Mytilus edulis: one gene and its partner. The protein of the gene in region 1 purifies or fractionates together with the protein of each later gene. This does not show direct contact. Links are inferred from orthologs where the notes say so. Each region holds a gene or a part of one and is shown in the gene's direction. Other genes may lie near its edges.

What was found.
Region 2: the proteins of structural maintenance of chromosomes protein 1A-like (region 1) and wings apart-like protein homolog purify together in Homo sapiens (affinity purification with mass spectrometry; 7 studies listed by BioGRID and IntAct, with this or other methods). This does not show direct contact. The link is inferred for Mytilus edulis from reciprocal best matches to the Homo sapiens genes SMC1A and WAPL.

What each region holds. Positions count from the first base shown.
Region 1 is NC_092344.1:98,597,115-98,605,072, forward strand, and holds the start of structural maintenance of chromosomes protein 1A-like, read left to right. Parts: upstream 1-4,872; 5' UTR 4,873-5,058; coding exon 5,059-5,170; intron 5,171-7,437; coding exon 7,438-7,514; intron 7,515-7,958. Other genes in the region: RIB43A-like with coiled-coils protein 2, read right to left, coding at 1-198, 1,251-1,478, 1,853-2,085, 2,289-2,519, 3,262-3,343, 4,498-4,614. UniProt on the Homo sapiens protein: Involved in chromosome cohesion during cell cycle and in DNA repair. Central component of cohesin complex. The cohesin complex is required for the cohesion of sister chromatids after DNA replication.
Region 2 is NC_092352.1:23,026,410-23,034,481, reverse strand, and holds the start of wings apart-like protein homolog, read left to right. Parts: upstream 1-5,069; 5' UTR 5,070-5,209; intron 5,210-7,623; 5' UTR 7,624-7,630; coding exon 7,631-8,072. UniProt on the Homo sapiens protein: Regulator of sister chromatid cohesion in mitosis which negatively regulates cohesin association with chromatin. Involved in both sister chromatid cohesion during interphase and sister-chromatid resolution during early stages of mitosis.

The sequences.
Region 1 (7,958 bases):
GGTGTACACTTCTTTCTCCAAATACTGTTTGTGTGATTCCTGTTCAAGACCTAAACGTCTGTTTTCATCGGCCATTTCTCTGTTGATGTCTTTGTGTTTCCTGTCCATCTCTCTCTCTAACAACATACCAGCTCGGGCATTGGCATTAGCTTGTCTTGCATGTTCAATTTCTCTTAGTTCATCTTCCTGGTCTCTTCGCTATAAACAAAAGAAAATTGGAGGAAAAATTACTAATTTTAAACAATACTAAATTTTCAATATCAACCTGACAAAAAAATTGTTTGCATGAGTATTCAATTCAAAGCTTTTTTTTTCCATATTAGACCTATTGACAACATACATAACTGATAAGTTAAGGATACCAATTCCTCTTTATAGTATGTTACTTGTATATACTGAGTATATGGTCTCTCTATCTGAAGTTATTCTTAAAAATAATATCAATACTATAATATGTACATGTATTAATGTAATAAGAAACTTGAAATAAAATAAAAGTAAAACAATCAATTTTGAACTGAGAGCCTCTATTGGCTTATGGTCTAGTAGGATGTTGAAAGGAGCTTGTTTGTTGGATTTATTGATTGATAAGTGATTGTTGTGTGCTGCATCAAAGTTGTAAATATATTGATGCTAGTTTGTTAGGTTTGGTAAGAAACATGTGTTTATGCTATTTAAAGAAAGGTCTGTTTGATTGGATATATAAAGTATGCGGAAGAATTTCATGCACGGGGGGTTTGATAGTAGTTAAAGTCATTCGAGTCATTGCAGTCAAGTGCTCTAGATGCTTTTTTCCAAATAAATAATTATAAAAATTATTTAGTAACAGGTTGATAGTCCAAGAGGAGTCGCAAATATTGATGTGGCAGTGCCAGTTTGAGACAGACAATTCTCATTGATATAAAAAGAATTACGTGTACTTATTACCCGAATAAAAATGCACTTGACTTTTGCTAGTGACTACTCCCATGTGAGAGTTTTGAATTATATTGATAAATGTTTTATGTTCGATTGAGGTTACAAATTAGAACACAAAAAATCTATATCACGACCAGAGCTATTTCAAATATAATAACAAGAAGTGTTTCTATTAAATAAGACAAAAAATTAACTAAGTAACTAAATCATTATTTTAAAGTGAAATATACATGTTTATTTTTAAACTTAATGTGCAAAATTAGAGGAAAGAGTTTTGATCCTTTGCCAATCATAATTAAAAATTGCTTTTAGTGGTAATGTTTATCACAAACCTGTTTCTCTAGCCTTTGTTTTTCTTGTTCCTTTCGTATAGCCTCTAACTGTTGTGGACTCATTCCCTTCCATCTGTCTGGGATGACACGATGAGGACCAAATGCACTTTGAGCAACAGCAGGGTTCTCTGTTAAAGTATCACCAAATATGTGATTGGCGATTTCTGTCATGTTATCATCAAATTCTTGCTGTTTCTTTAGTCTCTCACGTTCATTTCTTTCTCTTGCCTAAACAATGTAATATATTAATTAATATTTTTGTCATAATAAATAAAAATTAAATGTTTGGTGAATCTATCCAGAAATACTTACTTCATAGGACAAATACATACATTTCAGGGGAGATAACTTCTACCACTATTGTTTAATTTTTATGATAATAATATGTAACAATGAAAACAAGTAAAAAGTTGGTACTGTAAATAGATGTTTACTGAATCCCACAATGACATTTATTCATACTGTAGATAATACTTATTTCCTTTTACAATTAAAGCTGAATGATCAAGAACTGAAAACCTCTAAAAATTATATAAATGATCAAATATTTGTTTCTTTGTCAGTACATTGTACCAAGACCCAATTCATCATATACTACTTACTAGTGCATTATTGTAATCTGTGGTGGCCATATTTATTGCCCGTTTACAATCATCTTCAGCTTTTTCAAGTTCCATTCCTCGTTGATCTAATTCCCTCATTTTCAGTTGATATAAACGATCTGCCTCATCTTGATTACGTCTAGCTTGATCTTTTTCATTGGCTTGTTGTGTTGACCATTCTCTTAATTGTTCTTGTTGGAATTTTGTTCTTGCCTTATTATTAAGATCTTCACCTGTATTGAGAAAAGGATAAACATGTAGAAATGTATGTACAGTTTAAAGCACTTAATTTTGATTACTGTCTATTTTGTTTCAAAACACACTAAGATCAATGAGAAAGAATGTGAATATTCTAAACTATTCTAGAGACTTTCAACTAAACTTGATACCTAAACCTTTACAGTAAAAATATTGAATGTAAAAAAGCAGTCTTTACCTTCAAATTTTTGAATACTTGAAATACCACATCTTGGATCATCGTCACTGACACGACCAGGTTTGTCCTTCTTCAAATAATCAGGGTCATATAAATCAAACTCTCTACGACCATCTGGCTGTTGGTGTAAAGATCGGAAATCATTTAATGCCTGATTTAATGCTCTCACATCTTGCGCCTGTCTTTTCTCTAACATCTCAGAAATTTTGTCATTTCTAACAGCATCAGCAGCTGAAAATAAAATGATATAATTACAGCATTTAAAGAGACTCCAAATATTCTTACATCTATTGTTCCACATTGTTTGGCTCTGTCATATAATGGTGAGTCTTTACCACGATGAGAACTTCTAATATTGTTGTCTTTAAATGTGTTTATAATTATTTTTTTTCCTTAAAAGAACTAGGTGGCAGAAATTTAGCCATCTCTTCTAAATTTAATTCTTTCCATATCTTATTCATACAGGTATAACATAAGCTAATTTAGAGCTTGGTATGATAAGAGCCAATTTATAGCATATAATCAAGCCACTTGTATATTTTTTGAAGAAAATATTATGTTGACTGCAAGATATCTTTTGAATGTTTAATGTGTTTTCTTAGTCTTCTTAGTGCATTCTCTAGATACATGACACATTCCCCATTTCCATTCTCAATTTTATATATTTCCTTTTATACATGTACATGTCAATAAGGTTAAAATGATATCATTTTGAATGTGAATTCAATATTCTTAATATTATAAAAAGAACTTTACTTTTCTGATCCATGTATCAATTGTGTGAAATAAAATATCTGCATGTAAAACTATTACCTTATATATCATTTGTTACTTGTAAGTTGTAATAGTGTAAAAGAGTATTCTTCACATTCTAAATGATTCTTAAGCATCTGTAAAACATGCTGAAGTTGCTTAGTTCATACATTTGTGAGTAACTTTTTAACAATAAAAATATCTTTTAAAGAAAAATTACCGAAAGCTTCACTTCTTTTCCGTTCATAATCCTCCTGTTCCTTTTTGTCTCTAACTTGTTGTTCAATAGCTTGTAAGTCTACCTAAAATTAAATAAAAAGTTGAAAACATTTTAATAACAATGGTGACTATTATACATCTACTAAGGTGACAGTTTATTAATGTTCAATTTTGTTTGTTCTTGAGTCAATGTACATTGAAAGTGATTGCCTTCTTCAAAAAATTAAACAATTGCAGATCTGCTCTCTTAGACCAAATTGTTTTTTAATGAATGAGTTACCATTGTGTACATAGTGTAAATGATATCAGTGAATAATGAGTTCTTACTGTCACAGAGAAAAAAATGAATTTGAAAGTCAATCTTTTAATTGTTTCACCTCATGATCGATATTTTAGCTATTTGTATTTTAGCAAACTCTTTAGCTAGTTGCACAATTCATATAAATGAGGATATATTTTCTGCAAACTTGTAAAACTAATAACCATCCCAAGCTCAACAGGTAGCAGATCTAGAAGCCTTACAAAGATAATGTTAACCCTAGTAGGAGATTCAGACTTAACATTTTAAGATGCATGCATAATTTCTACGCTTCATATTACTCATTCTGAAGAGCCAAGGGGAAACAAATATCAATAAAGATAAATTATAGATCATAATATATTGTATTCAAGTATTCTACTAGGTAAAACAAAGGGAAACTTATAAATGGTTGCGTCAACACTAATATTCAGCAAATTTTCAACAAAATTTAACATATTCTGTTCAAATAATAAACATAACGCAACTAGACAACAATAAGAAAGAAAAAAAATGGACTCAGGGCGAACAGGTATCAGGGCAAACAGAAACTAGGGAGAACGTGAATCAGGGCGAACAAACCCGGATTAAGGAAGAATACTGCTTTCGAATTTTGTTATATACTTTTTCAGTGGTAGTGGTAGGTGTACTGAAGTGGATAGAGACCTACAAATTGGTACCATTGGCGAATCCGGGGGGGGGGGGGGGGGGGGGGGGGGGGGTTCTGGGGGTTGGAACCCCCCTTTTTTTTTGGACGATCAATGCATTTGAATGAGGACATATAGTTGGATCCCCCCCCCTTTTGTCCTGGGTTGGGCACCCCCCTTTTTAAAATGGCTGGATACGCCCCTGGGTACAATGGTGATACAACGTAGATGTGGGAAAGTAAACCTTAACTTTTGCATAATGCATAATGCAAATGAATGAGGATATTCTTACCCCAATAGTTCTGCATTTAGAATTAAAGATTCTTGACTTTCTTTGATCTTCCATCAACCTACGGCGCTCAATTGCAGCCGCTTCCTTGTAATCTACTGGAAGATCGAGTTTGTACATTTTGAAAACAAGTTAAAGATAAACACTGGAAGAAATCCGACAGCTTCACTGATTATCTCGTTGCTAAGTTTACACGGTTGTTATCCGGAAGTTGACTGCGTATCTACAAAACATATGAATACATGACTGATCATTTACAAAAACAATATGCATATAAATATGTCAATATACATTAACCAAATAATATGTGATGATATATTTTAACCTTTTTAACTACAATGACATTTTCAACAAATTATTTCTGAGGATTTTTTCACCGCCGATTAGTCTCGCACTAATCTCGGTAAAAACGAGAACAATGGGAAGCGACGTCTGTTGGCGCTAAAAATTTGCATTCATAATGTAAACCAAAATATTTACATTTTCTTTTAACGTAGAAGTTAAAATCGTGATCTCTTCCAACCACCCACCTCACAACTTACAACAAATATCTTCTAGTTCAAAATGCCAGGTCACTTGAAATACATCGAGGTGGAAAACTTCAAATCATATCGTGGTAAACAAAAGATTGGACCCTTCAACAAATTTACTGCTGTAATTGGTCCAAATGGTTCAGGTAAATTATACTTTATTGATAAAAGGTAGCACACAAAACCATATACAAAATCAAGCGTCTTAGTTGAAAAAAGCATTATTTTTAAGTCCTTCAAATAAAGCACAGAACGTTTTTGGTTGGCAATATTATGGTGCCAATCACAGGGGAGGTAATCCCTTTGGGAATTTATGAGGCTGAATGCGCCACCATCAAGACCACTTGAAATACATCTGGATGATCAGACCATTTTCTATACCCGTGAATTGTTGACCGCTCTACAAATAACACAAATAATTGTTGGATTCAGCATCGTTGAACAATCACAATGTCAATGATCAGTTATTAATGCGCAGTGGCGGATCAAGGGGTAGGGTACTGGGGATTGGAACCCCCCTATTTTTTTGGACGATTAATGCATTTGAATGGGGACATATAGTAAGAACCCCCCTTTGTTCCTGGTTGAGAACCCTCCCTTTTTAAAATGGCTGGATCCGATCCTGCTGCGATACATCGAATGACCGAATAACACTGGTATTATCCTAATATTTTGATATAAGCACATATTGGTAACTATTAAACATTGATTATCAAATAATCAATGTTTAAAAGACACCAACTGTGGCAACATGTGTTAATAATATGAGGCAGGCATAACCTGTGAATGGGGACGAAGTCTCTATGTATTATTTTTTTTATTCAATCACGTTGATAAAAGAAACCGAAATACCGTACGTAACGTTCCTGATTTTGATTCTGTTGTTAGGGAATTAGCTGTGACGTTCTTTAAGTTATGACGTCATATTCGATGTAAACAAAAGAAACGCTTTCATCAGGTAATGTTTTTTCATATCAAACAATTATTAAAATTGAATTTGTATTGAGATCCAATCTTAATATATTTTACTAGACTGATAAATATAAATTTTTTCAAAGTCTCATGCAAACAAGACAGATATCTGCGCAAAAGCAGAGAAAACCGGAACAGGAAGTAGATCTGAAAAAAAAAGTTAACGATTTTGAGTTCATTAGTAGAATGGAAAATTCGGGAATTTTTTTTTTTTTTTTATTGATTTTTCTACCGTAATTGGGGACTTCGTCCCCTTATTAAAATTTCAAGTGTTATTTGGTCATTACAAGTGTTATTCAGTCAATCATGTTACCTGTTATTACTGTGTCGTGTGATAATGACGATTAATGTAATAATTTAAGCACATGTGACATTAGAAATTTAAGCAAAAATGCAGGAACTAAGTAGCCGTCTTTTTAAGAATGAACATGATGAACTTAGCCTATGATCAAAATGACAATATTTGTATGTCATTATATGACTATTATACATATTGGTAAAGAAAACCTTTTGACATAGTTCATGTAGTTCAAAGATCTTCACTTTATTTTAAAACAATAAATTAAAAAACTATTACTTTACAGCAAAACGCTTAACTGAAGCAACATTTGAAAAATTATTGAAATTAAATTTTAAAAAAGAAGGGATAAAAAAAGACATTCTAAATACAAAAAAAACAAACTATATGAGATTCAAACACACTTACTACATGTGGCTGCATCATGTAAACTTGCCAATTACTTTGTTAAATTAGCTCAAAGGCCCATTCTCCAGAATTGTTTCAGATACAGACTATATTCAATTAAGTTGATTCAAATGACAAATTCTTGTTATTGATTTGATATCATATCACTGACCTCGGGCCATGCAGAATGAAGATTCTTAAAAACTCATAGTAATAAGCTTTTAAAAGGCTGACAAGGAAAAAATTACTTTTCTGCACAAATAACTAAAATTACCTTGTAAAGTAACTGCATGTGAATGACATCAATTGAATCTCTTTTTAAATGCAATACCACTTATTACCTGTCTCTACATGTGAAAAAATAGAACCTGAATGTAAAGTTTTTCTACTAAAACAATTGAAATATATGATGACATCAGGAATTGACACACATTTATGTACCTTAAAGATAGACTTAATTAATTAGGCAGATATGTGAACACTATTCACATTGATAATGCAAACTAATTGGATATATTGACACTAATTGGGAACATTTTCTCAATTCTTAAAACAAAACAAGAATAAACAAACGTACATGCATTTAACATGTTATCTTTTTTTGTAGCTGTTATATTCATTATTTTGTAGCTGTAATATTCATTTTTTTTAACATTTGTACATCTTTATGCCCGAACTGACATCTTTGTGATATGCATGACCTTCAGATATCTGAAATTTTAACTTAATAAAATGTATATTAAAATTTCTTTTTAGGAAAATCTAACTTGATGGACGCCATAAGTTTTGTCCTTGGAGAAAAGACATCAAACTTGCGTGTAAAAAGATTAAGTGTGAGTCTCAAATACATCACATTTAAAATGTTTTTAATTGAGAAAAAATTTACATGGGTACATTGAAGACCCAATGGTGGCCTTCAGCTGTTGTCTTCTCTATGGTCGGGTTATTGTCTCTTTCATTAGATAGATAGTTTCCTTAAGACAGATTGTTTTTTACTATTAAATAAGGCCACCCTTAAAAAATTGTTTGTTTGGCATTGCCGACCCACACTATCAGCAGGTGGGTAGGTAGGTAGGGAATTTTTTTTTTTTTTTACATTTAAAAGCTTTATACATGTAAATCATGAAGTCTCTAGACCAATGTTGTCTAAAGCATTGCAGCATTGTTGTGTGTACATGCTGGTGGTTTCTTTGAACGGGGTCAACCGTCAATGTCACATTCTACATCATATGGATAATTTCATGTAAGACAGTCAGTTTTGTTGGCAGAGTTCACCA
Region 2 (8,072 bases), on another chromosome or scaffold:
CTGCAATAATGGTCGAGGAAGTCTGTAATGGCCCGAAGCAACGCCGAGGGCCATTACAGACATCCGAGGCAATTATTACTGACCAAGGACATAAAACAGGGCCATTATAAAAACACCCATTTCTTAATACATTTTTTAACCAACTGAAAAAGTGTATGTGGTGCTGCCAACTTGGTGTACTCTCTTACTCTTTTAATGACAGTTTAGTTTGAAAAAAAAAATTGTACTTCACCATGATCAAGCTTTAAATATCCCAAATATCCAAGATATTAAGTTGAAAGAAACCAATTTATGTGTTGAAAAACGGGATGAACAGTGATCCCTTTATATGGTTCTTTAATGTTTGTTGCTGGTTACTAAATTAAATAAATTACAAACAGGTATTATACTCTTTACAGCTTAATTTTATTAACTTTATTAAAAACCCTAACTGGGCTTAATATAGACAAGCTGGGCATTAATACAGGGCCATTACAGAAAAACAGGGCCATAGCAGAAATAACAGGACCATTGCAGAAAAACAGGGCCATTACAGAAAAACAGGGCCATTACAGAAAAAACAGGGCCATTACAGAAAAACAGGGCCATTACAGAAAATACGTTATTTTCAATAACCAGTCATTTTTGGCAATAATGCACTTAGTTGGTTAATAAAATATAATATTGCACTCTAAATATGCTATGGCAACATTGCACTCACAATATGCTATGACAATATTGCACTTTTGATATGCCACGGCAATATGATATTCTTAAATGCCACAACAATATAACGCTTTTAATTATTATGGCACGACAATATTACACACTTCTTATGCTATAATAATGTCACACTCAATATGTTACGAAAATCGAACTCAATATGCCAAGATAATATTGTACTCTTTCCATTGTAGGTAATGGATCAGCTATATAGCTAAAGATTGAACTTGAATAAACCAAGCATTCAAAGACTCAAAAAGATGATTTTTATAGGATTATTTGGTTAACACCGCATGTCATATATATATATCTCTGTTGTAGGGTTGTCACTGACTCAATTTAGCTGATCTGTAACAATAACATCTTCATGCCTTATATATCATGTACTGCAGTACGCCGCTAGATTAAAACTGACGTGGAAAGGTAACACACGGCCAGCGAAAGCTCTTTTTTGAGAGCCCAGGTGGTCGTGTGGTCTAGCGGGACGGCTGCAGTGCAGGCGATTTGGTGTCACGATATCACAGTAGCATGGGTTCGAATCCCGTCGAGGGAAGAACCAAAAATTTGCGAAAGCAAATTTACAGATCTAACATTGTTGGGTTGATGTTTAGACGAGTTGTATATATATATATATATATATTCATAGGGGAAACAAATTGAAAATATTCCAATAGAAAGGTTCTGCAGAGGTGGTGCAAATTTAACTGTAACATGACAAGAATACAACGAAAGACATGAGCAGCTAGTTTGCAATTGTACATGTAGCAGTTCAGGTTTGAAACTTCAAGAAATCGTGTCACTCTCCCTACACAAGGCAGTGGAATTAAAGCCCAAAATTCCAATTGGAAATAGCTGCTTATTTATATATGCAGCGCATCTAAACGGACGTACCCTGCTAAGCATTTGCAATTCCAGGGTAAACGTACTTCTATTCTTACTCCATTCAACTCTTGGTATCATTTTATGAAGGATATAAATTAACTATTAGATTTTAACTGCCTCATATACCGGAATATATTCAAAAACGTGCCGATGAGAAAAGGAGTTCGGTTTGTTCCCATATCAATACCGATTGTCTATTGAATTACACTTTCATCATAAAAACACATATGGGGTCAATAAAACAAATCAAGCTAGCCTCATTTCAGCTCAGTTCTAATCTTTCGTTTAATTCGAAGTAAAGTTTAACCGTTCCTACAATTAGTCAAGCTATGAGCAATTTAATTCAAAAGATCTAATTAAATTGAATTGCAACTGGATGGTAAGCTAGCAACACTCATTACAACAAATACAATAAATTGAATCGCCTTGGTATTCTCATGACTGTGTGCTCATCTAGAGTTCCGCCGGAGGTCATGATTTCAATTCAGGGACGGGTAAAACATAGACTTGAACATTTGTATGTGTTGATTCTCAGTTAGGCATGTGGCATTTACGGCTAAGAGTTAGGCATGTGACATTTATGAGTAAGAGCAACGATTTGTAGGCTTGGATGCAGAATAATGTGTCTGGGTAGCATGTTTTCCTTAAGATTGTTACCTTGTCCGTCTAGTACAGAGAATGGTTAAAAATAATATCACACTAACATGTTCTCGTCCTGTATATTCAATTAATATGACACTGGACATTTAACAGCATCGTCGTCTATAATTGATGAAAACATTTTTGTTTTGTATCGAGCACATATTCTAAAACTTAATAAGAGAACATGAAGGTTTTCCGCAATTTATTCTCTCTTTCCATAATGTATAAGCAGTTGCTTTCTGGTTGGAAATTGACATGCTGCTCAATGTAAGATATATGGATATATCAATAAATATATATGACCATATAATTATAATGAAAATACATGTATAAAATTTGCAGTGATGTGAGTTTTATTTGCTCCGTGTTGAGGGCCTCACTGTGACTTTGAGATGAAGAACGGCAATAAAAGCGCTGTTCCTTTGCTTTTTGTGTGTTTTGTTGTTGTTGTTGTTGTTGTTGTTGTGGTTGTGCATTAACTGATTTTGTGTTATGGATGGATACACAATATCCTTTGTTTTTCCATTATTTAGATCATTATAATACCTCTCTGTCGTGACTGGGCGTGAGGATGGCATATTAGTACGACAGGTACATATAAAATCAAAATGTAGAGATATGTTCTACGTTCAAACTTTGTACTTTGTACGTTTTTGTTTAAAATAGTGTATTATCAGTGATTTTGTGGTGCTTTTCATGGGCCCATTCAATAGAAAATAAACTTATCCAAGTTCTACCTCGCCATCGTGATACAATGAATAGTTAGGGTTTTCTATATATATGATATACCCGGTATGTATGAAATATACAACAGCTGAATGATTAGCTTGAAGTCGTCTATAGCTCTCACGGATGCGGCCAACCTATTTAGTCCTGCTGAGATCCATATTGTGTGGATAGTTTCAAGAGTCCTCTGTCTTTAGCGCAAAAATCTGTTGAGGTCCATAATGTGGGGAGCATTTCACGAGTTCTCGGTCGTTAGAGCAAACATCTACTGAGGTCCATAATGTGGGGAGCATTTCACGAGTCCTCGGTCGTTAGAGGAAACATCTACTGAGGTCAATGTGGGGAGCATTTCACGAGTCCTCGGTCGTTAGAGCAAACATCTACTGAGGTCAATGTGGGGAGCATTTCACGAGTCCTCGGTCGTTAGAGCAAACATCTACTGAGGTCAATGTGGGGAGCATTTCACGAGTCCTCGGTCGTTAGAGCAAACATCTACCGAGGTCAATGTGGGGAGCATTTCACGAGTCCTCGGTCGTTAGAGCAAACATCTACTGAGATCCTTAATGTGGGGAGCATTTCACTCGTTAGGGCAAACATCTACTGAGGTCCATAATGTGGGGAGCATTTCACGAGTCCTCGGTCGTTAGAGCAAACTTCTACTGAGGTCAATGTGGGGAGCATTTCACGAGTCCTCGGTCGTTAGAGCAAACATCTAACGAGGTCAATGTGGGGAGCATTTCACGAGTCCTCGGTCGTTAGACAAAACATCTACTGAGGTCAATAATGTGGGGAGCATTTCACTCGTTAGAGCAAACATCTACTGAGGTCCATAATATGGGGAGCATTTCACTCGTTAGAGCAAACATCTACTGAGGTCCATAATATGGGGAGCATTTCACGAGTCCTCGGTCGTTAGAGCAAACATCTACTGAGGTCAATGTGGGGAGCATTTCACGAGTCCTCGGTCGTTAGAGCAAACATCTACCGAGGTCAATGTGGGGAGCATTTCACGAGTCCTCGGTCGTTAGAGCAAACATCTACTGAGATCCTTAATGTGGGGAGCATTTCACTCGTTAGGGCAAACATCTACTGAGGTCCATAATGTGGGGAGCATTTCACGAGTCCTCGGTCGTTAGAGCATACATCTACTGAGGTCAATGTGGGGAGCATTTCACGAGTCCTCGGTCGTTAGAGCAAACATCTACCGAGGTCAATGTGGGGAGCATTTCACGAGTCCTCGGTCGTTAGACAAAACATCTACTGAGATCCTTAATGTGGGGAGCATTTCACTCGTTAGGGCAAACATCTACTGAGGTCCATAATGTGGGGAGCATTTCACGAGTCCTCGGTCGTTAGAGCAAACATCTACTGAGGTCAATGTGGGGAGCATTTCACGAGTCCTCGGTCGTTAGAGCAAACATCTACTGAGGTCAATGTGGGGAGCATTTCACGAGTCCTCGGTCGTTAGAGCAAACATCTACTGAGGTCCATAATGTGGGGAGCATTTCACGAGTCCTCGGTCGTTAGAGCAAACATCTACTGAGGTCCATAATGTGGGGATCATTTCACGAGTCATCCATGACTTTTATTTTGTCTTATAAAACACATTTCGATCTTCTCTTGTGCCCGCCTGAGGTGTTGCTTATTGGCCATGATTGACATTTAAAAGTAATTTATACATGTAGATAAAATAATTAGCCGCACTTGCCGTAACTTGGTAGATCTTAAAACTAAGTTACACTAAAAGGATAGCAGGAATTATCAAAAATTTAAGCCGAAACAATAGACCAAGCTGTATGTGTTATTACATCATAATGCCAACAAAAACATTTTATGTCAACGAATATTTACAGATAACATATTTTACATGTGACTCTTTCTTTTAAAGGACAAATATCTATAAAAAAAATATTTCCATTCCATGGATAAAATTTAATATATAACCAATTCATGAGTATGTTGTTCTAAATGTTGCTTTAATTATTTACAGTAGTGCTTTTAATCATTATTTAATAATGTGCAGGTGATTGGGGAAAAAATGGGTCAAAGGGAAATAACACTTACTGATTAGTTGAACTATTTTTAAAGTTATTTCCCCTTTGATTTACGAAACAATGCCTGTAAAATCTGTCCTGAAAGACAAGTGCGATGAGAGTGCGCCTGCGTACAACTGTTATTGTTAGAATTTTCAAAATGGCGCTGTACAGGCGATAGCTGCCGATTGTGTTTGTATATCATGCAGATTTGTTTTTAACAGGTGAATTGAAAATGGGAGTTTTTCATTACAATATTATGCATTTACGCAACATTTTACTCAAAGAATTTGGCGCGACACGTTCTCAGATGGACGAATGAACGCAATCTTTCTCTTGTACGAGTTATCTTACCTCCTCAAAATGATCAATCTTTTTTCGCCTTTTCTGATAGATATGCACATTGATTTACGTCTAGCTTAGAGTTATTTTTTTGAGATATTAAACTACTTTCTGTGAAAAACAAATAATTGACGATTATATTGTTCCTCGTAGCTACATCAGGATCAACTAAGATCTTGTTGTATTGCGTATAAATTATAATTTATACTTTTCAAATCGAGATCATGGCAGATGACTTGGCATGTTGTTTGTGCATACTTCATACTTTAAAAAAATCTTTGCTTTTACCTTTACTACAACAACTATTTAGGTATTTTGTCAAGATGAATGTTAGCCTGGCATCCGGCCCAATCTAGCTGCGCCTCGTATACTGACAAGATTAGCCAGGACCCCAGGCTAGATGAATGTGGACTAGTCTACAGCTGTTCATATTCAAGTTTGGATATTATCACCACTTAGCTTTAAACATATTTATTTATAGTGGATTGGGAAACAAATTATATACTGCAAATACCTATTTGTTCGCTATTACTGTACATCTCAAAGGTTCCATTAAAATTTTGATGTAATAAATACAAATTATCTGACGCCCACAATGGAAAAGTGATTGTGGTAGGATGTCAATAGTTTAGAAGGGTCCGATTATCTGGTCAAGCAGGACAGATTTCTAAATAGCAATAAGGTGTATTGGTATTATACCCCTAAAAGAATCTGAGTCTGTTCGCGCCCATTCACGTTCGCACCCTATCACGTCCGCTCCCTTTCACTTTCACACCCTACACGTTCGCGCCAGATTTTTATTGGTTTTGTGTTTAATAACTTTATAATTAAGTTTTGGCAAGTCAGTGTATTCCTATAAGTATATTTGTTGTCATTGTCCTAAATTAAATTAAGACGTGTTTGTTGTGTTGAATAAATCGTAATCTTTTTTTGGTTAAGTGTATTGCTAACTTTTATTTCATTGTTTCAAAATAAATTGAGACTATAACAAGGTATTTGTGTTGAATAAATTTTAAGCATGTTTTGGTTAGTGCATTGCTATGATTTTTTTGTTTCATTGTTTCAGATCAAAGGAGCCAAGCTGTTAAAATCTTTTAGTGTTTTTCATTTAAAATCTTCAATGTTTTTACTCATACCAAGCTAAATACATGCAGTATTTACATCATTAAATTCTATTTTCAATTGTTGGGTATAATTTTCAATAATGACCCATAGACAAGGTGAATATCTAAAACTGTTAACACAAGAAGTTTAAGTATAATAATTTTGAAGGGTTGACAATTTTGACATTCATCGCTTCTAAGGGGCCACAATTGTTTTATTATACCAAACTAACAGTGGAAGGGTATTTTGAATCACTAAGAGCACTTTACTTACTTTAGTCAGTAGACATACAAAGTTTATGTTCAAAAATACATTAGTGTCTTAGAATTCTTGTTTGTACAACCAATGATTTGTATAGTATAAACAAGCCAAAGGACCATTTATGAGAGATATCATCGGCACAAGATGATCTTCCAAATTCTTATTTCTTATTCTCTTGATCGATGGTCTTCCAGTAACGTGAACTTTGCACTTTTGTTTAATTACGTCTGTGACATCTCTTTCATGGGAGATAACTTATGTAATAATCAAGAAACCAAAAAGGTTACTTGCCAGTGATTAATAGGGTTATTCTCAGCTGTTATAAATTTTTAGGCATATTTGTCCTTCCTTGCAATTAAATGAAAATTAGCTGAATTATTCCATGTCACGTGATAACATGTTACCCACTAGAATTCTATGTATAAATTAAATATATGTAAAGTATAATAAATGAATACAATTTTTACCCCAAAATGGGGATAGTACCCATTTATGAGAATTTTCCCCAATCAGATAATTGTTTGTTTCCTGTGTTACTTTTTAATTATGCTAAATTCTTTTCAGTACATGTACGTTATTTTTCAACTTGATAATTTCAAAGAAATGTGTGGACATGAATGTGGCAGCAAATGCTCATGAAGTCTATCCTTATTCTTTGTGAAAAGTCGTATTTCCCATGTTTTGTGTGTGTTCTGTTGAAATGTTTGGTATTTTTATTAACTATATATATACTTGAACTTAGGGATTATAGTGGATAATGAAGAACTGAATCTGTTATGCAAAAAAGTAAACTTCTGTATGAATATTTTACTGAAAAACTAAAAAAAACAATAATTAGTTTCAATCTGAATTTGATTTTTAATGATTAATTTTTCAGACTTGAATGAACTTTGAAATTCAATATTCATGCTTTTATATACTTATATTTTAGATACAACATGGCTACCAAATCTGCTGTTAAAACCTATGGGAAGGCCAACAGAGAAGCTGCTCAGAGTAAAGCATTTGATGATGCTCTTAAACCAAATTCAGCAGCGAACAGGTCAACATCACAGACCAAGTGGGGCAAGACTTCATTCAGTCGTTTAAGAGAAGATGATCCATTTGAAGTCACATGTAAAAAAGTCAAAATAGAGACAGAATCTGCAGATCCTTTCTCTTTTGATTTTGAAGATGGTGAGACAGTGAAAAAAGAAGTTGTTCAGGCCCCTGTTTTACCACCCCCTCCAACTTCAAACTCAGGGAGTGGATTAGGACGTCCTGCTATCCCTAATCTAAAGGTATCACATAAAGGACAAGAGCAAATTGTAGATAATTCTGAGAATATAGAGGAAAGAACAGAAGAGGAGGAAGATGAAATTCCTTTGTCTAATTTTTCTA